Oryzias latipes: one gene and its partners. The protein of the gene in region 3 purifies or fractionates together with the protein of the main gene of each other region. This does not show direct contact. Links are inferred from orthologs where the notes say so. Each region holds a gene or a part of one and is shown on either strand. Other genes may lie near its edges. The genes, in order: ncbp1, heterogeneous nuclear ribonucleoprotein D0-like and dhx9.

What was found.
Region 1: the proteins of dhx9 (region 3) and ncbp1 purify together in Homo sapiens (co-immunoprecipitation; 3 studies listed by BioGRID and IntAct, with this or other methods). This does not show direct contact. The link is inferred for Oryzias latipes from reciprocal best matches to the Homo sapiens genes DHX9 and NCBP1.
Region 2: the proteins of dhx9 (region 3) and heterogeneous nuclear ribonucleoprotein D0-like purify together in Homo sapiens (affinity purification with mass spectrometry; 3 studies listed by BioGRID and IntAct, with this or other methods). This does not show direct contact. The link is inferred for Oryzias latipes from reciprocal best matches to the Homo sapiens genes DHX9 and HNRNPD.

The regions. Positions count from the first base shown.
Region 1 is NC_019868.2:27,749,302-27,757,479, forward strand, and holds the start of ncbp1 (nuclear cap-binding protein subunit 1), read left to right. Parts: upstream 1-2,942; coding exon 2,943-2,976; intron 2,977-4,369; coding exon 4,370-4,458; intron 4,459-4,544; coding exon 4,545-4,645; intron 4,646-4,718; coding exon 4,719-4,875; intron 4,876-4,959; coding exon 4,960-5,067; intron 5,068-5,425; coding exon 5,426-5,547; intron 5,548-5,638; coding exon 5,639-5,708; intron 5,709-6,058; coding exon 6,059-6,274; intron 6,275-6,352; coding exon 6,353-6,450; intron 6,451-6,540; coding exon 6,541-6,604; intron 6,605-6,677; coding exon 6,678-6,788; intron 6,789-7,359; coding exon 7,360-7,424; intron 7,425-7,503; coding exon 7,504-7,566; intron 7,567-7,643; coding exon 7,644-7,718; intron 7,719-8,178. Other genes in the region: tstd2 (thiosulfate sulfurtransferase/rhodanese-like domain-containing protein 2), read right to left, coding at 847-966, 1,034-1,142, 1,214-1,497, 2,427-2,702. UniProt on the Homo sapiens protein: Component of the cap-binding complex (CBC), which binds cotranscriptionally to the 5'-cap of pre-mRNAs and is involved in various processes such as pre-mRNA splicing, translation regulation, nonsense-mediated mRNA decay, RNA-mediated gene silencing (RNAi) by microRNAs (miRNAs) and mRNA export.
Region 2 is NC_019870.2:2,820,336-2,827,148, forward strand, and holds the end of heterogeneous nuclear ribonucleoprotein D0-like, read right to left. Parts: intron 6,177-6,813; coding exon 6,008-6,176; intron 5,349-6,007; coding exon 5,187-5,348; intron 4,371-5,186; coding exon 4,239-4,370; intron 3,967-4,238; coding exon 3,867-3,966; intron 2,792-3,866; coding exon 2,645-2,791; intron 2,568-2,644; coding exon 2,500-2,567; 3' UTR 827-2,499; downstream 1-826. Other genes in the region: vesicle-associated membrane protein 8-like, read left to right, coding at 546-683. UniProt on the Homo sapiens protein: Binds with high affinity to RNA molecules that contain AU-rich elements (AREs) found within the 3'-UTR of many proto-oncogenes and cytokine mRNAs.
Region 3 is NC_019875.2:12,669,246-12,677,423, reverse strand, and holds the start of dhx9 (ATP-dependent RNA helicase A), read left to right. Parts: upstream 1-2,792; 5' UTR 2,793-2,890; intron 2,891-3,400; 5' UTR 3,401-3,471; coding exon 3,472-3,582; intron 3,583-3,652; coding exon 3,653-3,793; intron 3,794-4,021; coding exon 4,022-4,127; intron 4,128-4,199; coding exon 4,200-4,354; intron 4,355-4,527; coding exon 4,528-4,676; intron 4,677-5,136; exon of another isoform or gene 5,137-5,196; intron 5,197-5,282; coding exon 5,283-5,329; intron 5,330-5,744; coding exon 5,745-5,881; intron 5,882-5,960; coding exon 5,961-6,050; intron 6,051-6,238; coding exon 6,239-6,400; intron 6,401-6,488; coding exon 6,489-6,566; intron 6,567-6,630; coding exon 6,631-6,822; intron 6,823-8,178. Other genes in the region: laminin subunit gamma-2, read left to right, coding at 69-227, 303-402, 544-794. UniProt on the Homo sapiens protein: Multifunctional ATP-dependent nucleic acid helicase that unwinds DNA and RNA in a 3' to 5' direction and that plays important roles in many processes, such as DNA replication, transcriptional activation, post-transcriptional RNA regulation, mRNA translation and RNA-mediated gene silencing.

The DNA of each region.
Region 1 (8,178 bases), on a different chromosome or scaffold from region 3:
GGTTGTTTCTGATTAACCAACATGTTTAGGATTCATTTTTGTTCACAAACATGTCATCATTTTGAGCCATTTCCATTTATCTGGATGTATTTCTATCTCATGAACGCCTCCAAGCTCTCAGGTGTTGGTGCCGTTTGCCCAGCAGAACCTAGGTAGAACCCCACAGAGGTGACGCGTACCCCACAAACCCAATGTCCCCTTTTGACTCAAAGTTTACATACTAGGATCATTTTGTTCATTAATCTGCACTTGGACAGGTGAAGTATAAATATCTCTGACAACAAGATTATGGATTATGATGACTATGATGACAGTAGAGACAGAATTCTATACATTGGCTTCCTCCCACTCTTTTTCCAACACATAAAAGTCCTTTTGACAAACGTAATATTTAACGGATTTAAAATATGTCTGAGAGTAATAAAAATGGCATCATTTACACGTGTATGTATTTATATATGGAAGTGTATATAAATCTATATATATCTGTGTGGATTTCTTCATCTTTACTTTTTAATATTTTCATTTTCCGATCAATTCATGACAGTTTATCCCAAGTTTTATAAATATACATATAGATATTTTTGCTTAAGAGAAACTAATTTCAATGTGGTTTGTAGCTATGCATAATTTTAAGATAATTTAATTCTTTTTTTTTACACTTCATTGTTTTCTTACTACAGATCGGTTTCTTTAAATGGAAAACAGTTCTTTTTTTTTTTTTAAATGTGTTCTTTTTGCTGTTTGGTTCCATCAACAATCATACAACCGTTTAAAAAGTCTATTTGTAGTCCAGTGTCTTAATCCTGATGTAGCCACAGATGAAAAGCATCTCAGAAACTTTACCTTAAAATCTTCTCGGTCCATCTGGAAGAGGGGGTGTGACATCATGGCCCTGGTGTAGAGATCCGTGGCCACGGCGGTTCCACCAACCGTCCCGTTGATTCCTTCTGCCGCCACCCTCACCTGCAGAGAGCTTCCACTTCAGAACAGAGCTTCTCCTCGTGGATCCTACGGAGGAGTTTGTGGTCACCTTCCCCGTTAACTGCAGCCTCTCACACAGAGCTTTCTGCCAGGCGCAGATGACGTGCGGATCCTCCACCTCGCAGTAGCGGTAGTAAAGGAGAACCTTGCCGGGACCGCTGCAGGAGAACGAGAACACGTCAGGAGTGTTTCCCATCGCGTCTGCGGCAGACGTGACACCCTGATCTACTTTTTCAGCAGCTCCGCTGGGACGTGGCTAACGTCAGGGATCCACACAGAAACGTCCGCTTCTTCTGCCTCGCGTCCGTTCAGCCGCTGTGTTTGCTCTTCCTCTGCCAGCTGGCTCAGCGAAGCCTGGAACGCCGTCTGCGCCAGCTGCTGCACTTCGGCGGCGTGTGCTCTGGCCACATGTTTGTGAACGGCAGAGTGTTCTTTGAAGGTCTGGCCGCAGCAGCACCAGGAGGCGCCGGCCTCTGCACTGCAGATCTTTGAAGCCACAAACGAGGCAAAAGACTGAAAAGGAAAAAGAATCAAAGCATTTACCTCAATCAAGCAAATGTATTCTGTTTCAAATACTTCCAGAAATATATGGTTTCCAAAAAAGTTGGACCGACTAAAGGAGTTTCTAAATGTGATGTCTTGAATCATCATCATCATCATCATCATCATTGAGGTTCACGTCAATATTTACGTAATGAGCCAAATTTTGGCCTGTCAATACTCTGATCAAGCCTGAAATATATTACATATCTATAAATGATTTAAGCATTGATTTACATCTATTTGGTCCGGTAAACGGTAATAATCTGTTTATGACAAAAACAGGGAAGAATTTTATATGTCTAAAGTGACAATTTAAAAGAAGCAACAAATTTTTTTTTATGTATTTGTTTGTTTGTGACATCAAACACTAAAAAAAAGCCTCTCTGCAAATTTACCAGTTGGCCAAAAGCCCCCCCCCCTCTATTTGTTGTCCCAGGACAGAAGGTAAATGTGCCTCACTAAATATAAAGTAATCATTTAATGAACGCCTGGTGAAAGGTGAGTTTTCAACTGTAAAATGGTCAAATATGTTTTTAACTACAGGATCTATTTCTAAATTGTTGTGCCTTTTTTATGTTGTTTGTTTTGGTGTAAAGCACTTTGTGTTATCATGTTCTAGAATTATATAAATTTTACATAAATAAAGATTGATTAGATTTGATACACAGAAAAACAAAAACAAATACCAAAGATATTCTCTAACTTTCATGTCTTGAATACCTTAGGTAGTAATAATATTACTACCTAGTAGTAATAATATTACTAATATATAAAAGATGCAAACTGCCCAGAATTGGGTCAGAATCAATATTTAGTTTAGATTAGTTTAGTCATTTTTTATTCTGTTTTCAATCATTCTGCGTTGTCTTTGTGGAAAGAGAAGCCAGATATTCTCCTACCTTTCTCCTGCAGAACCTGTAATATTTTCTGTGAGCAGCAGAAATGTGTTTGTTTTGCTTAATTGATCCATGATCAACCATCGACGTGTTGACCTCCCAGTTCAGAAACTCTGAGCAGACTGCTTCACTGGCTGCCATTCTCCTCAACTGGCAAATTAAATGCACGACAAATATGTTTGTGATCGTAAAAAACGCAACTTTGTGATAGAACGCGTAAATACTGACAAAAAGAGAGATATAAGTTCTCAAACGCGGTAAATACCCTTGTATTTCCATGCGAGTGTGCAGCTCACCGGAAGTGGAAGTTCAGCTTCCGGTTGTACCTTGAATGACCCGGATGTCCATCATTTCAATCGCTCCGCTGTTATTTCTCTGTAAGAAGCTGCTGTTGCTGCTGCTGCCGCCTCCGGACTCTGCCGTTCAAAATAAGCAAAGCTTTTCCCGGATCCACCGGTCTGTCCCGCGTTATTTTTTTTACACCGGGTGTCTGCACGCGTGCAGCTCAGGGGGGACAACATGTCCAGGAGGAGACACAGCGACGACAGTGACGGCAAGTCGCGCGCTGCATGTGCGATTCAAACGTTACGGCTAACGCGGCAGCTAGCTACAGCTACCTTGATTATCTGTATGTGCTATAACTTTAAAGGAATGCAACGATAGCAGGCGTTGCCCCAATATCAAGTATTTTTTTAAAGCTACTAAATAAATTAGGGGATTTTAAAAAATGATTTTTAAGAGATTAAGTTTTACCAGAAAAACCCGGTTCCGTTAGTTAGCTACTTTAGCTAACGCTAACGGCCAGATTTATGTTTTATAACGGTTTCTGGCACACAAAACACATTTAATGTTTGTAAAGACTGGCGTAAGTGTTGAAAGAGACACTTTTTCTGTGGGTTCATCATCATGCGCATGGAAACGTGATGTTACAGCCCTGTGGATTTTGTGATTTATAAAGGAACATTCACAACCAAAGTGTCTCACGGTTCCACACTAAAAAAATATCAGACCTAACAATATTTTTATATAATGTAGGATTAGTTTAGTATGTATTTGTCATTGTATGTATAAATGACTTCTATTGGCTTCCATTGAGTGTTTACCTTTCATTCAGAGATTTCAGTAAGGAGAGAATCAGCAAGGCAAGTTTATTTCTTAAGCACATTTTATGTACAAAGGCAATTCAAGGTCCTTTACATAAAACACTAAAAGAAAAATTTAACAGAAATATTAAAGGAGTTATCACCAAAATAAAAATTTAAAGAACTGAAGTAAATACCAACCTGCATTTAAATAAACTGAGTGTTTCAGCTGATCCAAGGCTTAATTCTGGTAGTCTGTTCCAGATCTACAGAGCATAGAAGCTGAATGCAGCTTCTTCGTGTTTGATTTCGACTCTAGGTACTGACGAAAGAGCAGATCCAGATTACCGGACAGGTCAGAACTGGACTGATGTGGTCTAATATTTGGCTCCTTTGAAGGACCCGAGCAGCAGAGTTCTGAATACGCTGCCGTATCGTCCAGCAAAAACACTGGAACAGTAGTCAAGTCGACTAAAGATCGACTTAACACATAAACAAGTTTGGCCAAGTCCTGCTTAGACATCAGATCTTTATTTTAACCAGATGAAATTATCTCAAAGCGATGTTAAAAAGATGGGTTTTGTGCTTCTTCTGAAAAATCTCTACGGTCTCTGAGGCTCTCCGGCAGGCTGACGTCCAACTGTTTGTCTTTAGCCCTAGACACAATATTCTCCATTTTTCTTCTGTTTACCTAAAGTATATAGGAGGAAACCTCCAGTAAAGTCAGATGGAGTATGTGTGACTGTCGAAACACTAGATTTTATGAGACGAATACACTATTTTCCCCCCAAAACGTAGATTTGTTTTTCTGTCTTCAGTGTCCTCTCAGGTCAGAGGTTTAAGTTCTGTCCTTTTCATTTTTAGGAGGTCAAGCCCACAAAAGGAGGAGAACATCAGAGCCTATTGAGATTGAAGACCGCCTGGAGTCGCTGATATGTCGCGTTGGAGAAAAAGTACGATGGCCGTTTTGTCATAAAGCCATATATTTACTATTTAAATAATTTGCAATAACTAAAGTCCGTCTTTGATCTTTTAAAAGAGTACATCGTCCCTCGAGAGCAACCTGGAGGGGCTCGCAGGGGTTTTGGAGGCGGACCTTCCAAACTACAAAAACAAAATCCTGCGTATTTTATGTGCAGTGTAAGTTGTCCGCAGTTCTCCTCATTCTCAAGCGTAACAAACGGTCCGTTTTCACAAACGCGTCTTTCGACAGAGCCCGCCTCCTGCCGGAGAAGCTGACAGTCTACACGACGTTAGTCGGCCTCCTGAACGCCAGGAACTACAACTTTGGGGGAGAGTTTGTGGAGGCCATGATCCGGCAGCTGAAGGAGACGCTGAAAAACAACTTCTACAACGAAGCCGTTTACTTGGTCTGTTGATGTTCAATGTCTAAACTCGCAGCTGCTGCAGCGCCTTTTGCTCTCGGCATCGTTTAAGTTCTCTGCTCTCTTCAGGTGCGCTTTCTGTCAGACTTGGTCAACTGTCACGTGATCGCTGCCCCTTCCATGGTAGCCATGTTTGAAAACTTCATCAGTGTTACTCAGGAAGAAGATGTGCCACAGGTTTGTTTCTGCACGGCCTCACCTGGAATATTTGTTTGCATCAGAAGTTTCAGTTTATGAACATCCCGTTCTTTTTTTACTTAATGTCACATTTAAGGCGCCTCCTTTTGTTTTACTGCAACGTCTGAGTTTCCCCATTTCAAATTCAGCAAACTCCTTTATTTTTGTATCATCTGATGTTCTCAATGACGACTCAAAATTCCATGACTTGGTTTTGGGAGAACTGCAGTCCAATCAAAAATAAAAATGATTGTTTTCTGTGTAAAAATAGTTTTAGATTTATACAAAAACGATTTTTCAGCTTCTCAATTTGACTTGAAGATGAAGATCAGTAAGCGTGAGACCCTTTTGGCTCCAGGTTCGGTTGGACTGGTTCGTGTACGTGGTTCTGTCCTGCCTGCCGTGGGTCGGCAAGGAACTTTATGAGAAGAAGGACGTGGAGATGGACCGACTCCTGAGCCAGATCGAAGGCTACCTCAAGTGAGACGCGGCCTCTTTTCTGGAGCATCTTTTGCTTTCCATTGAAGCTGTTGTTGGACTGACTCCAGCGCTCTGCTGTGTTCCTGGACAGGAGGAGGGTGAAGACTCACGTCCCCATGCTGCAGGTGTGGACCGCTGAGAAACCACATCCACAGGAAGAGGTGAGCCTTTTGGACAAGCAGGTTTTGAAACGCAAGTCTAAAAAGATGCATTAGAAGGATCGAAGGGGGAAAAAAATCCAGATTGCTTTGAAGAATTTTAAAGAGAAACGACTCCTGTGAGGAGAAACGCTGGAACGTCGGCATAGGAAAACTAGAAGAGGAGAATGGGCCACACTGCCCCCCCCCCCCAGTGAAATTGTTGGGTCTGCTGATAACACATGCAAGGAAAAAAAGGATCAAACTAAATGTCATAATTCATAAAAGAAGTATTTAACATTTCAAGTCACTAAAAGGAGGGTGAAAATCAGCCAAATGAGTTTGAATTCGTCCCTTTTGCTTCCATCTTTCAGTACCTGGACTGCCTTTGGGCTCAGATCCAGAAACTGAAGAAAGACCGCTGGCAGGAGCGCCACATCCTCCGACCGTACATCGCCTTCGACAGCGTCCTGTGCGAGGCCCTGCAGCACAACCTGCCCCCCTTCACTCCGCCGGGACACATGCCTGACGCCCAGTACCCCATGCCCCGCGTCATCTTCCGGATGTTCGATTACACCGACGCCCCGGAGGTCAGTCGCCCGGACCGACCGCTCACAAAAAAACAGCCGCTGCGGTTCTGACCCGGTGTTTGTGTTCGCCTCCTGCAGGGACCCGTCATGCCCGGCAGCCATTCTGTGGAGAGATTTGTTATTGAAGAAAACCTCCACTGCATCATCAAAACTCACTGGAGGGAAAGGAAAACATGGTGATCAGGCGCCGTCACCTGTGAAGAAACGACGCCGGCTCACACTGAGAGTCTCTTTTTCATATTTCTCTGTATTTTTTTGTCCCCCAGTGCTGCTCAGTTACTCAGCTATCCAGGAAAGAATAAAATCCCGCTCAACTATCACATCGTAGAGGTAACTTCCCTTCTTTTAGCCTCCTGTAGCGCGAAGCGTAACTGCTGCGTCATGCGGTTTCTCTGCATTTCAGGTGATCTTTGGCGAGCTCTTCCAGCTGCCCTCCCCGCCGCACATCGACGTCATGTACACCTCTCTGCTCATCGAGCTCTGCAAATTACAGCCGGGGTCGCTACCGCAAGTCGTATCCTGATGCTTCCGCTGTCAAAACCAGTTGGAAGGTCAGACAATCGGGTCGATGAGACACGAAGCAAATGTCCCCAAATGTTCGTCCAGCGCTTAAAGCGTTGTTCAGACTCTTCTTTTTCTGTTTGCTGCATTTAAAAACTGGTTTTGATCGTGGTTCGATAGCATGAACCAGATTCTGCAGCAGCTCAGGTCATCAGGCTACACATCCTGGAAAGTTTGCTATAAAAAAAAAAGATCTAAAACTCAAAAAGGACTCAAGATGTAAACCCAAGATATGGTGGAGATTTAAAACTCCTTTGGGGAATTAAAAACAAAGTAAACCATTCAGAAAACAGAAGAGCAGAGCCGGCTGGTTCCATTAAACAAATCTTGGGTTTATTTTTAAAAAGTCATTTTGTTAAAACAGAATCATCAGATGTGAATACATTTATAACATATATTTTTAAAAAGCAAAAAAAAGGGGGGGGGGGGGGGGATAAATTTGGATTTTATTGGATCATTTTAGCCGTTTTGTTTCTGAAGTTTTCTTGAACCAAACTAGCTGATGTTCCTTGACTGACCTGAAGTTGGCGCAAGCCACAGAAATGCTTTACATGAGGCTGGACACCATGAACACCAGCTGCATGGACAGGTTTGTTTCTGCACAGACAGGATGCATTCTGGGTGTTGAAGTCTTTTCGGTGAAACATTTTTTTCTCTTCTCTTAACAGATTTATCAACTGGTTTGCTCATCACTTGAGTAACTTTCAGTTCCGGTGGAGTTGGGACGACTGGTGCGTAACTCCTGTCGTTCTGTGGCTGAAACCTTTTTTTTTTTCCGCTTTTGTGACACTTTTTCCTCCGTGTGAAGGGCCGACTGCTTGACTGTGGACCTGGACAAACCCAAGCCCAAGTTTGTCAAAGAGGTTCTGGAGAAGTCGATGAGGTACAGATGCTGTTCTCTAACACTTTCATGCATGTTCACTTCAACAAGAATTCACTCAAAGGACAAATTCAAGTGTAGTAGTATGGCCTGAAGCTGCTACGCCCGCCGCCGCCCTTCCACCCCCCTTCACTGGCCACACCACGTCACTTAGAAACCTCACTAGTTCTTCCCATTCTGCCTCTGCCAGCCTGGTCAGGACCGCACAGGACATAAATGGAAAAAAAAAAACCCACTTCTTCTCAAAATGGCGGTTTTATGTTGGTTTTATCTCCATAGCAACCATTTTATTTCTGGGTCTCCTGTGGGTCACGTACAGGTCTGTAATTTTTAAAAGAATCTGCAAAAGTAAACCTTTGGATTTACTTGGCAACATAGGTGTTTTGGTAACCATGGTAACATATTTACTATTCTTATATCACATGCTAAATCATTTCATTCAGCTTGAGCCAACGGTTCGTGT
Region 2 (6,813 bases), on a different chromosome or scaffold from region 3:
AAAAATCATGGCGTAACGTTATGGCGTAAGATATAACCCTTGTGCTATCTTGTGGGGTCCAGATGACCCCCCCCCTTACATTGACGTGTTCTCCCTACCATGACAAAGGTGGATAAAGGTGAGGAGGATTTCATGTGATCCATGGACACCAGTGAAGATCACAAATCATTGAAGAAGAAAGGTTCAGCGCACTGTCTAGTGGGTCTAGATGACCCAACTCCCAACGGTCATCTGGACCCACAAGATAGCACAAGGGAAAAGTAATAATTGCACATAAACTATATAAAATAAGACTAAACTGCGTAATTCTCAACCAACCAAAAAATTTGAAAAGCTCAAGACCGAATTCATGTAAAGACCCGTCGGCCGAAACCCTCGACTGACGTCCGACCACATTGACGAACGCAAGAAGCCAACTGAATCACGTTTATCACGCATGTATCACGAAAGACGGGAATTTCATACGTGGAAAATGAGCAAACCACGTGAAGTGGCCGAGTGACCCGGCCTCTAGCAAATGACTGCTTTTCTTCTTTCTCCTGCAGGCCGACTCCTTCCAGAGAACGTCCACGCGCGTCGCCCGCAAATACTGGTGGAAGAACATAAAGCTGATGATCATCATCGGCGTGGTTCTGCTGGTCGTCCTGATCCTCATCATCCTCGCCGCCACCAAGGTTATCTGAACCCACCGAGAAGCTCTGGGTGCAGCGACCTTCATGCAGAGATGAGGGATGAGGCCATCCTCACTGAAGTTCAATCTCAGAAGCTTTTTCTGACAAACACTCCACGATTTGACAAACTCTAGCGATGAAACACAAATCCAAAGTGTTTAGAACGTTTTTATTGATGCCTTTTTAATGTCCAATACACTGTGTATATATATATAGAGAGAGTAAGTTCTTGACTGTCAACCTCTGTAATAACATGTAATATATGACAGACGATAAAATGAAGGAAAGAAAATCCTGAAACTTCGCAAAAAACACATTTTCTGTTTGATTTGTTGGAACCAACGATACACTTCAGTACTGGACTAAATGAAGCCACTTTCTAGCAGCAGTTGAGGACTCAACAGGGAAAGGAGGAACAAATAAATGCTAAAAGCCATCTAAACAAATGCAGAACACTGAAATATGTATGTAAATATGGAGGAAACGTAGGTCTTTTTGTTTTAAATGCTCTATCTCTACGTAATGACTGCTGCTGGATCATGGCTCCGGTCAACGCTCCTCCAGCGCTCTGCAGACGTTCATCACTCAAACCTGTCAAACAAAAAAGAAAAGAAACCCATCAGTCATGCGGGAAAAACAAACTCACTGAGAGAAATACTAAGAAATCTAGGAATCCCCTGTGTTTTTAGTGTCCAATATAAAAAACAAACAATTATTTTAAACATTTTACATCTTAAAAAAAAAAAAAAGCTAGAAGAAGTCTAAATGGAAGAAAGCTTCAGATTGGTCAAAAATACACATTAAAGAAAGCATTACATGCAAATGTCTGCAAATGTGGCGACACTCTGACTCATTTTTATCAAAGGTTGTAAGAAGAAAAATGTGTTACGGGAAAATTAACAAAAAGAGGAGTCTGTTCCATCGCTGTCAGTAATACAAAAACAGACCAATACAATTACACAACGTAAAAGCACTTTATCCCCCAACACAGTAGAGTCCGAATACGAACCAGCTTTAGCTGGTGGATTACGGGCTAAATAAAGAAAAACATTTTACATATGATTAGGAATGAATATATTAACATTAGGGAACTGGAAAATCCAGAGAAAGCTGTTCATATCCTTTAAAAAGCAAATAGTTAATCTTTCAGATTTAAAGTCATTACTTGTGGGGGAGTAAGGGCCTGTAAAAAATGACAATTACATGTGTAGATTTTACTTCTTTTTTTTGTTACATTAAATAACACTTTCAAAGAAATTAAAAAATGGAAAGAAAGATGACAAAGCTGGACGTGTCCCCATATTGTTTAGTTTAGAAATGCGGATACAGGATGTTGTAAGACCATACCAAATGGCAGCATTCGAGAGCGTATGCTTCTCGTACCCGGTCCGCATTGAGCGGGCCCTGAGAGTATCTGGGAGTCAGCTCATGGCCTGCAAGGAAGCTCCGCTGGCAGGTACAAACAAGGTATGTCAGTGTTAGGAGACAACATACTTCCTTTTGTTTCCTTGCACATCCTTAACTTTGGCATCCATTTTACTGTAGTAGCAGTGCTTTACCTGTTAACTTTACACTTAAAAAAAGAAAAACACAAAGAAGAGGCAGCAGAAAGGCCCGCCGATAAAAAAAAAAATCAATCGCCACAAGAGCGTAGCCTCTATGTTACCACTACTGTAAAGCACTTGAGGGTGCTGAGAGAAAGAAATTTACGCAAGAAAATTATACAAAACAATTACAAACACCAAAGTTAATGTAGCTAATTTTAGTTGAGCAGCAATAAAGTTGTTGTTGTTTCTACATACCTACTTGACGGTGAGGGTTTGCCTCTTTAATACGGTTTGTAACTGTTGGTGTGACCGCCACGCCGTGGCGACTTCCCATATCCGCCCGACTGATCTGAAAGGGGAAACGCCAGAGCCAGCGTTAGGGCGTTTTTACAGAGGACCAAAGCGCAGGCAGGCCTCCTCACTCACCGTTGTAATCGCCATATCCGTAGTAGTTGTTGTATCCAGAATAATCGTAGCCTCCGTAGCCCTGATTACCGTAACCGTAGTTGCCGTAATTTCCGTAGCCCGGGTTCCAGTAGTTACTATAACCCTGGTTCCAGTTCTGGCTCGGGCCTGCGGGTCACATGACTTACACCATAAACAATGTCTTTCAACCCAGAAAAGAAAACGCTTCAACGTCTAGAAATGACAAAAACACTTTCAAATCTTTAAAGACTCTTTAGATTAGCAAAGTCTCCAACACCAAAGTTGTTGCTGGCCACAGCAAATAACACACTCTTCATCAACTACAGTAACTCTTTTACCATCAACGTCATGACTGTGACTCTTTTAAAGATGTAAAGAAATTGAGTTAAAGCCGTAACTCTGACCGTTTACGGAATTAACGTAATTATTTTACTAATGGAAATTAATGACATTACAATTTGACTTTGACACTATTAACACAAGCCTGTTTACGCAATTAACGTAGTTCTTTAAGATTAACGTTAAATTAACGTGATTATTTTATCAACGTAAAGAAATTATGTCAATACCGTAACCTTAAACTGTTTCCGAAATTAACGCAATTTTTTTACTAACGTCAATACCTTACCACTTTAACCGTTTACGAGATTAATGGCTTTACTAATGTAAAGGAATTATGTTATAACTGTAACTCTTACCGTATATAAACGCAAGTCTTTTACTAACATAAGGCAATGACGTAAACACCGTAACCGTTTCCGAAGCTAGCGTGATTATTTTACAAAAGTAAGGGAATAACGTTAATACACTTAACTCTTTAACCATTGAAGAAATTAAGGTGATTCTTTTACTAACGTAGGAATTACTTTAATACTGTAACCTTTTAACCATTTATGTAAATAATGTAATTTTCTGTTAGCGTTTACAAACTGTGTTACTACTGTAGGTCTTTGACCATTGATGGAGTTAATGTAAATCTTCTAATGTAAAGAAAATGCGTTGACACAGAAAGTCTTTGACATTTAACGTAACTCAGTTTTTAGCGTAAAGTGTTGCACATCACGGTAAAGCAGTTTGTCACATCTTCAGAATCCGTTGGAATTACGTTAACTACGTAAACAGTCGACAAGTGATGGTCATTTAAAGTGGAGCCAAAGCTCCGGCGTTAACAACTGGAATTAGCGTCTAATCTGGATTAAGACGACTGTAAACTCTCACTCACCGCCTCCTCTTCCTCTGGACCTGGACGAGTATCCTCCTCTGCCCCCCCAGTACTGCTGCTGCTGGTACTGCTCCTTCGACAGCGCCACCTTCACTTCGCACTGCGGCGGCCCATCATACAATTCACTTCTTTTAGGGTTCACATACTTTGTTCTGGTCTAAAACTTCTGAACCACTGTGTTACAACAGTGACTCACAATCTATACATGAACTTTATTTGAATGCAGTCAGAAGATACTATTTTGGGTTTAATTAAAAACATAAAGTTCTTACATATTTTATTCAGTCTTCAGTCTGACAGTTCCTAAATGCAACAGCTAAATATTCCCAGATTCAAGAGCTCTGTCCGTGTCATGGTCTCACTTAGTCCTACCTTGCTGAGGCCGATGTTGTGGTACTTCTTCTCCATGACCTTCTTCACAGCCTCCTCTTCTTTGAATGTGATGAAGCAGAAGCCTCTCCGTTTGTTGGTTTTGTTCTCCATGGGGAGCTCGATCGACTCCACCTGTTGACCAAAACAAGAAGCTCATTTCTGAGGCGGACTGGACGACTCGGGTCGGCGAACAGCAGGATGTCCACAGCAGGTCTGCAGGCAACTACAGGTGCGTTTAGTCACAAACACACCTGTAGGTCTTCCTCCATGATTCTTCCCACGTGTCTTTTTTCCTCAGAGTTTGCTGAAGCAGCAGATAAAAGGTTAAAGAAAGTGAAGAAATAGATTTTATTGTTCCCATGAGGCTCATGTTGGCAGCTGATTTGCTGAAGTCTGTTAACCAGTAACAGTTTAATGACTTTGTGGTTAGACATAAGCCCCTGACTGACCTCATGAAGGCCTTTTTACTGGGCACTGTGGATTAACTAGCCTAAATGGGACACATACGTGCATTGGATTCTAGAGGAATCGACATGAATTCTGTCCTGCAGTTCAGTTTCTCTGTTCCTGAGTTTGTCTTTTATTTTACTGGCAGCCTAAACATTTGCTGCACTGACACTTCACAGAGTCCTGCACCATAAGAGGTGAGACAGGAAACGCTTGTCCTCCTGTCAGAGCAAGTTTCAAAATAAAAGAGCAAAATGAAAAAATAAACCTGAAAACCCCTGAGAGCGTTTTTCACAAAAGCACAGAAGCCGAGAGTGCAACATTTAATGACGAGAATTAAAGAAAAATACAGAAGAATTACACAGTTTAGGGTCTGCAGTTACGCTTTAGGTCTCAAATTGGACGCAAAACTTCTGAAAGTTCATAAATAAAAAGAGTAAATCAAGTGTGTCAAAGGATAAAAACTGGTTTAAGCTGAGTAAAAAAAAAAACGACACGAACCTCTCCAAAGGCACCAAAGTACTCTCGGACCTTCTCCTCTGGGGTGTCTGGAGACAAACCACCAACGAAGACTTTCTTCACCGGCTCCTTGCTCTTCATGGCCTTGGCTTTTTTAGGGTCGATGACTTTTCCGTTGAGTTTATGTTCCTTCTGTGACGCCACCTTCAGAACAGAAAGCAGCAAATACATAAATAAAACTCACTAAATGACACAACAACAACAAGAAAAAAATCAAAGCTGATGTAATAATTAGAAACAGAATATAGAAGGAAAATGTTGAGGCGTGTCTCCACAGAAATCTGCTGCTCATAACAACATCAAACGTAAAGAAATATTTCAAAAGGCTGACGTGTTCACTCATGAGTTTGTCTGAAATCTTCTGAATTTATTTGATAAATAATATTATTGCTTTTTTTCGCATGAAGGAAATGACTAAGCCTCCAAAATAAAAGACGAACTTGGAGCTGAAACAGTTAAATGTTAAACTGCTTCACTGATTTATTGTCAATTCAGTGTGATTCGAACAAATATGTATTTATTTCAAAAAAGTTGTGAAACAAACTTTTTTTAAATGAGTTAAGTTAATCTGCACGTATCTGTTGATTTAAACTGAACAAAGGTGAACGTTTTATGAATAAATTCTTGAATGTTTGAAATTCTTGAAAAATAAAAAATAAAAAGCTGCTTTTTAAAAAAGTCAAAACAGAAGACAGTGCTTACAAGAAAATTTCCTTGATCTGAGAGACATTTGATTAGATCAGACTGTTTTTTTCAACACCACCCCAGTAAAAACAACATTTAGGTATTGAACAGAATCGAACCTTTTCCACACTTTCGGCGTCTTTGAAGAGCACAAAGCCGAAGCCCCTGGAGCGTCCGGTCATGGGGTCCAGCTTTAATGTGCAGTCTACCACCTCCCCGAACTTTGCAAAGTAATCTTTCAGGTCTTTCTTCGTGGTGTCCCAGCTCAGGCCTCCAACAAACATCTTCCTGCCAGCAAAAAAACATTTGGAAGGAGATCCGTGGTATAAGTTTGTGTTTGTTGTGACCCAAGTCCTAACTATAAGAATCTTTCCTCGGGTTGCTGCTGGCATTTTCATTCATAAAATATAAAACGAGTGAACAGTGTGATGAAAGAAGTGAAACAGAAAGAACTGAAGAAAGCCTCTTTGTTTTTATATGACCCCGAAGAACCCACAGGGTCAAATTTGGCAGCTTTTCCTTTTTTTTAATTTATGTTTTTATGTAAATTATGTTTTTCTATTGTGTTTTTTAGCCACAGTTAATTGCTGCTCCCCGAAACAAACAAAGAAACTTTCAAATGAACTTCAAAGACCCACTAATGAAAAAGGTGTTTGGGGTATTTTTAGCATGTTCTTGTAGCATTTTTCTGATGATGGACGACATTTATGGTAAAATTAAGCTTAGACTGTGTTTCTGAGTATTTCTTTATTCAAATCGTTGTGCATCAGGGGCAGACGAAGAGTTTGAAAAAGATCATATTTGTGATGTAGAAAAAACACGCTGGGCGGGGCCACAACCTCCCTGCTCCTCTCCATTCTAATGCATCCACTTACATACAGACTAATAGATCCATCTGCAAAGCTTTGTTTTCCTCGTCTGAGCT
Region 3 (8,178 bases):
GGAGACGCACGCGACACTTGAAGCTAGTAGTGTGTGGACAAGCAAACAGCTTTGTGTTGATGCTTCAGGAAAGCGTTGGAAATCTGCCGGATCACTCCAGCTTGGGAGGAGGAGTCGCCAGCCTCAGCACGGAGGCAATAGACCTGAAGACGGCGGCAGACCAGACAGCTAGAGGCCTGGAAGCAGATCTGAATGAGGCCGGAGCGTTAAAGGATGATGCAGAGGAGGTAAATTTCCACGCAGGCACCACCCTCCCACCCTCCCCTTGTGGAGTGACGTCATTAGAGATGCTTCTTCTGCAGGTGGCTGTGGGAGCGGCTGCAGCTTCAGACAAAGCCAAGCGTGGCAGAGACGCAGTGGCTCTAACTCTGCAGGACATCAACACCCTGCTGGCTGACATGGGTGAGTCACTGTCACTTTTGTGACAAAAGGACAAACACATTGCAGTGCGCTGCAAGTGAGTGTTTTTATCCAGCAGGGGGCGGTAGACAGAGTCCCTACCATCTCTGGTAGCACCTCTGTGACTTAATGTCTTCTCCTCAGATCGTTCTGCTGTGGGTGATGATCAGCTGAAGCAGCTGGAGGACTCGCTGTCTAGAGTTCGGGAGGAGGTGCACGGCCGTCTCAGGTCCCGGCTGCAGGACATGCGGGAGCAGGAGGACGCTCAGCGCCGCCAGCTGTCTGGGATCAGCATGGACTTGGACCGGCTCCTCGCCGACGTTGCTAACCTGGAGGAGATCCTGAATTCGGTCCCCAGTGGCTGCTACAACACCGCCCCCATCGAGGAGGCCTGAACGGCGCCCCTCCTTGGAGGAGGAACTGAAGATGAAATGAAAAAGTCTCCAATATTTTGCACAAAAATATGATCTCTCTTTGTCTTAGCCAAACTTCTTCGCCAGGTGTTGCCTTCACTGTCTCATGGAAATGTCAGTTTCAAAATGATCTGGTTTGCTGTTCTCTGATTCTGGCACCTGATTTTACAGCAGCAGATGAGAGAACTGTTGATAAATCTGAATTTGTTATTTATTCAAAGCTTGAAAGAAGATTTCAGAAAAGGCAATATTTCAGAGGAAGAGATTTATTCATGGAAGAAGATTTCAAAAGATTGAAAAGATGCTTCTCTAACAGGAATAAGCATCTGATTACAGAAAAAAATAAGAAAAACCAATTCAAATGTTCAAAACTGAATTAAGATTCCTTTGTTGAAGAAGGAAAATTCTGTGTGGACTTCTGAATCTCTTTTATGGTTTCTAACCGAAGCAGTAATTTCTCCTTCCTGCTTCTTTTCTTTGTCATGTTGTTATAGAGTTTTTACCTGATCTGTATTATTTCAGAGCCAAATAAATGAAAGTATCATTGTTTTTCTAGTCTGTTGGTTGGATCAGTGTTTGAATCTGAAAAGAAAAGACAGAATATGTAAGATGGGGCTTTAGAACAAGACACACTGGTTTCACCGTCTCTGTGACTACAGCAGGTTTCTGCCAGAGCCTCTACAGGCGTTTATGGCTACTCTGCTCAGCGACTGACCACCTCAAAAAACTGGATATGGATAGAGAAAGCGTGGTTTTCTCTCCTGTGAGGTTCCTGTCTACAGCAGTAAACAAAGAGCAGCAAAAATGTGCAATTCTATTTCATACTATTGGTTTTATCAGGACTATAAACAGGACAGATTTTCTGTAGATTCTGTAGATTAAATCTTCGGTTGACACTGAAAAAATAAAAATGAAATAAAAATCTATGGTTTTAAGCTAATAAACCTTACAATGCAGGTCATGTTACAGCTATGTCATTTTATAAGAGAGATCTGGTTTTTTCTTAAATTAAAATCAGATGAGAAGTTTAGAAATTAGACAAGGATTTGGTCATTTGAAGATTTTTGTTTTATAAAAATAAACTGATTTGTTAAAACAAAATTTATTCGTGAGAAAAACAATGGAACATCCCACGTAACAAAATAAAAGGTTTTTGTTGACTTGATTTAAAATATAATTTACATTTGGAGTCCATATTTCGTGCTCCAAATATGAATCACACAGAAGCAAGATTAATATTTCCATAGTTGTTACTCGAAATTTGAACTTCTGATTGTTTATGGAACTTACATAAATGCTGAATTGAATTCATGAAGGAGAAATTGTGAAAAATTTTCATTTATTCATTTATTCATTCATTCATTCGTTCGTTCATTCATTTGTTCATTCATTCATTCGTTCGTTCATTCATTCATTCGTTCATTCATTTGTTCATTCATTCATTCGTTCTTTCATTCATTCATTCATTCATTCATTCATTCGTTCGTTCATTCATTTGTTCATTCATTCATTCGTTCGTTCATTCATTCATTCATTTATTCATTCATTCATTCGTTAATTCATTCATTCATTCATTCATTCATTCATTCATTCATCTTCTTCCGTTTGCTCCCTTTCGGGGTCACGGGGCTGCCAGAACCTATCTCGGCCACTTGTGGGCGAAGGCAGGGGGCACCCTGGACAGGTCGCCAGTCTCTCGCAGGGTTGGAATAATTTTAATAATTTAAATTTGATTACAGCAACAACAACAAAAACTTACACTGATTTTATGAATGTTTATGACACAGTGGCCACTTATAATCCTTGTGGACAATGGGTTGATGTTAACCACAATGTAATTTGAGTAAAGGAAACCAACTAGAGTGACAAAAGACAGAAATCTAGTTCTCATCCCAGTAGAATAAAAAAAATCATCATGCAGAGGGGCGTTGATAAAAAAGGATCAACTCACTGCCAGGAGCTAACAGTTCATTTCACCTCCAGAACAGAGGGTGGCGCTGTTGCGCGGTAGAAGAGTTCAAAGCTTCCGCTGTTGCCGCTTTGCAGGAATCTGCACTGCAGACTTGACTGAGCGGACGGTAGGTGTTGAATGTAGTCGTTGATGTTAGAATGAAAATGTTTGCTTTTTTAATATTTATTTTGCATACGTACTTCGTGTCTTACTGGCGTTAGTTAGTTTAGCCTCAATGCGTCTGTCAACGTTTACACCGGTTGATGAATGAAGCTAACGTTAGCATACTAGCATTTTCGTTGTAGTTGTCTCAGTTGCAACTGATGATTCAATGTGGGATCAATTGGGGAAAAATATTGCATGGAGGATCACATTATTGCTTGATGATAGGAGCTGCACGTGGCTAGCTGAAGTATAAAAACGGTCAAACATTTCCCCCGTGACTTAGTAACGTTAGTGTTGTTATCGTTTCTCCCTGTGTGTGTGTCGGCGCACATATGTTTTTCTGTTTAGGGTTTCTTTTACGACACGCACGCAGGCAGCGGTTTACTGTAGCTTCCTGAACAACACTGTATGTTTTGATGTGACGCCTGCCAGTGATTCTGCGGTTGTTCAGAGCCACCTCTGTGTTTTACAGGCAACACTAAGGGACCAGGGCACACCTGAAGCTCGCAGGTAAAGCCCACGCGGAGCTGGAAGCTCGCCACTATGGCGGACATCAAGAATTTCCTGTACGCCTGGTGTGGAAAGAAAAAGCTGACTCCCAACTACGAAATCCGGGCGGCGGGCAACAAAAACCGGCAGAAGTTCATGTGTGAGGTCGGTCTGCATTCACAGCCAGCTGGTTTGTAACCAGACTCTCCCGTAACGTCTCTGTTTGCTCCTGAAGGTGCGGGTGGATGGCTTCACCTATGTGGGGATGGGAAACTCCACCAGCAAGAAGGATGCTCAGACCAACGCCGCCAGGGACTTTGTCAACTATCTGGTCCGAGTCGGGGAGATGAAGGCTGAAGAGGTTCCAGCTCTGGGGGTCAGAAAGCTTTTTTTTACGCTTTTTTAAAGGAGATGTAAAAACAAAGCAAACCAGAGGAACATCTTTCCAATCAATAGAGCATCCAGCTATGTTCAGGCCAGAACAGAAAACCATTTAGAAAGTCAAGATCCATAAAGACTGGGAGACTGCAAGGATTAGTCAAAAGTTTACCAGTGGGCAGCGAACACTTAACCGGAACTGACGGCCTTTTGTTGTTCTACCCAGGCCGTGGCTCCAGAACCCAACCAGCCCGAAGGACCTCCGGGAAGCTTCGGAACCCTCCCAGCCAGCGGGCCGCTGCCCCCCCACCTGGTGGTGAAGGTGGAGAAAGGTTTGAGCCGAACACACCTAACCTGCTGCTCCCTGACTTCAGTCCTCTTCATCCTGTGGTTTCTGTTTTCAGAGGCTGATGCCTTCATCAATGCACCTCCAGGACAGACTGAACAAGGGTTCCCTCCTAGAGGTGGCAATGGGGGAGGAGGAGGAGGGGCTGAGTGGGACAGAGGAGCCAACCTGAAGGAGTACTACGCCCGGAGGGATGAGCAGGAGGCTCAAGCGGTACTGGAGCCAGCTATGTGCCATGAAGCTGCTTTTCAAGAAGATCCCGGTCCTTTTGAGCTGTGTTGTCACATGTTGCAGTCACATGACTGTGACAACATTAGGCGGCTTCATAACAGGTGGGACTGCTCTGCCTTAGTACCGGTCCCACTAATGCGGCTCTCCTGTTGTAGACGCTGGAATCCGAGGAGGTAGACCTGAATGCAAACTTGCACGGAAACTGGACCCTGGAGAACGCCAAGGCCCGTCTCAACCGGTTCTTCCAGCAGGAGAAGATCACCTCCGAGTACACGTACAGCCAAGTGGGACCCGATCACAACAGGTCTGGATCAGCGCTCCCCTACAAGCCGTCTGACCAGATCCAGCCTGACGAGCCCAGGTCTCTCGTCAGTCTGGATCTGGTCTTTTCTGCTGTTCAGATCTGTCAGGTGGGGGTGGGAGAGTGGGGTATTGACAAATGAACTCTAATTAAAAAGCTGCAGCTTCTCGGGTTGGTAAATGTTTCCTCTGAAAGGGGCCACACTCCTGGGCCCGCCGCTCACTGGTAGCACCTGTGTGTTTTTCTGCCGGACTGCTGCAAACCCAGAGAGCTCCTGCGTGTGCCGGCTACACCGGAGAGCCCTCACAGCCACATGCTCAACTCAAAGCCTGCAGAGCGACACTAGAACTCACGACCACGCTGAGGAAATACATGGGGATGGCGTTTAGGTTCTCTAAAGCCCCCCCATGGGTGCAGCTCCGTGGTCTCTGGTCGTGATTTGTGGTGTTGCTCTTCATTGTAGGCTTTAAAACCTGAAAGTCTGGCAGAAAAACGCCCAGGTTTCTTTCTGAGGACACATCAGGTGAGTCTGCTCCTGAGGGATGCTTGGCTTTAGGCTTTTACTTTGAAAGGCACGGGATGTAACTCTGCCATGTTATTTGTCTGCAGGAGCTTCATAGCAGAGATGCAGCTGTTCGTGAGGAAGCTCGGCAGAAGTAAGTTTTGACATGTCTGTACATGAGACCACAGAGACGGTTCTGTGCTGAGATTCTTTACGCTTATTTTAGCAGAGCCAGTAAATAGAAATTGGTGCTTTCCTTAACAAATAGAAAACCTTTTCTCTTGTGTTTTAAGTATCAGAAAGCTTGTATTTTTTAGCATTTTGAAATTTTTCTTAAAACTAAATGACAAAAGACTAATACCGGCAGAAACCAATTCTTTTAATAAATATGAAACAAACGAATCACCCCTCAAATAGGAATAGTTTACTTTCTCCCGCCCCATTGTGCCTTCAACCCTGTTGAGGTGGATGCAACAAAAACCAATCGATTTTGATTCGTTACTGCTGTGCAGAATCCTACGGGTGATGTCAGAGATGACTCCGCCCCTTTTGTGCTGTGTTGTTTACAGAGATCACGGCCCGCGAACACGGATCTAACAAGAAGCTGGCAGCGCAGTCGTGCGCGCTGTCGTTGGTGCGACAGCTGTACCACCTGGGGGTGCTGGAGGCGTACACCGGGGTCACCAAGAAGAGGGAAGGCGAGACGGTGGGAGTTTGTTTTAAATAAAATCCTTTAAAGCAGAAATAAGCACGGATGAAGGTTTGACTCTTTCTGTCATGTCCAGCTGGAGCCGTACGACGTGAACGTGTCTCCTGACCTGCAGCTGCAGCTGAATACTGTGGCCAAGGAGCTCGGAGTCGAGATCCCCCCACCGGTGAGTTCTAGAAGTTCTCTGAAGCTCTGTGCAGCTGGGGATGATCTGATGATCCCTGGGCTCATTCCAGTCTTTAGACAGTCTTTAGTGTGGGCTTTTTCTGCGGTGAACTGTAGATGCTGTTCCCCCTTCTGCCTGTGGGGGCAGTAAATGTGGGTCTAGTTGACATGGATGCTTGTGTCTTTTAGCCTGAAGACCCCAGCTGCCCAGTGTCTCTGATTCAGGGGAAGATCAACACGTTCGAGCCATCGACGCGTCAGAACAGTGCCGGCGTCGTGCCCTGGTCCCCCCCGCAGGTTAACTGGAACCCCTGGACTAGCAGCAACATTGATGAGGGCCCGCTGGCTTTTGTAAGGCTTTTTCCTGCCGCTCTGGAAGACCTCAGAGTCTGAGCAGACACTGACACCATCGTGTCTAAATGTCGTTCCCTCTTTCTAGTGCACCCCTGAGCAGATCAGCGAGGACTTGCGCAATGAGCTGATGTACCAGCTGGAGCACGACGACTCTCTGCAGAAGGTCAGTCCCGCTTTATTGGCGCTCAGGCGGTGCTCTGCACTCTGACTGACGCCGTGTTGTTTAGATCCTGGCAGAGCGCGATCAGCTGCCCGTCAAACAGTTTGAGGACGAGATCATGGGGGCCCTGGAGAGCAACCCGGTGGTGATCATCAGAGGAGCCACAGGCTGCGGCAAAACCACGCAGGTTCCTCAGTACATCCTGGACCACTTCATCAAAGGAGGGAGGGCGTCTGACTGCAACATTGTGGTCACCCAGGTAACGGAACACAGCTGAGAGATGCCCGTGGTCCCTAGCCATGCTTATGTGCTGCACAGAATGCTAATTATCTGAAAGAACTGAGACTGCTAAAGAAAAACCTTTCTAAACAATTACACATTTAGCCAAAAATTATTTATTTTTATGTCAAAAACAGAACTTGATCAAATGCTTAAATACTGACTTTTAATCTCCAGATGCTAACTTTGAAGCCAAAAATATGAAATGTTCTGCTACCATTACTTAATCATAAGAACGGTGAGCAAAAATCCCAGAATCACACGGGGGAATCTAGTGAAGGACCTGCAGAGAGCCGGGACTGAAGTAACAAAGGCTACCATCTAGGCCTGCACAGTATACCGCAAATTTATCGTTATCGCAATATCAAGCTGTGCAATATGCATGTCGCAAAAGACTGCAAATTTGTAATAAATGGTTACCTTAGATGTGGCCAAACAATCTTATGGCAGCTTGAAGTGTTTAATGGATTGAAAGAATCCCTTTCTGCATTTGACCAATCAGATGGACCCCTTCACGTTGTTAACTAATCGGATGGCGCCCTATTATGTTGTATGTTCGCCTCCTATGTCAACAAGGGTCATTTGTAGTATAATTTTTAAGCTGTTGTAATGGAATGGGAATAATATTTTTGATTGCTTTGCTAATTGTTTAAATACCGCAAATTATATCGTTATCGCAATATTAATTACTAATATCGCATATCGCGAGTTTTCTTCATATCGTGCAGCCCTACTACCATCAGTAACACACTGTGCCACCAGGAACTCAAATCCTGCCGTGCCAGACGTGTCCCCCTGGTAAAGCCAGTACATGTGCAGACCCGTCTCTATTACTAGAGAGCATTTGGTTGATCCAGAAGACAATTGGGAGAATGTCCTGTGGTCAGATGAGACCAAAATAGAATTTTTTTGGTAAGAACTCCAATCATTGTGTTTGGAGGAGAAAGAACACCATAGCTACTGTAGGGCATGGGGGTGGAAACATCATGCTTTGGGGCTATTTTTGATGAATGAATAGGGCCATGTATTGTCAGATTTTGAGTGAAAACCTCCTATCAGAAAGGGTATTGAAGATGAAATGAGAATCTAAATAAAACCAAGTAAACCTATTGGGTCTCAAACCCCCTTTTTTTTTCTTCTCAGCTGAACTTTGGTCGTTCTGACCCACCTTTGGTCATTAACATTTTTCATGTGTAAGCCCTGCAGAAAAGCTTTTGCAGTTCTTACAGCAGTGCACATGAGACTGTTGTTGCCATGAAGACTGTGATTTTCTGTTTTGCACCATACTGTCGTGCTCTGGCTAAGAGTTCACATGCACAATCTACTGTTGTGTCTG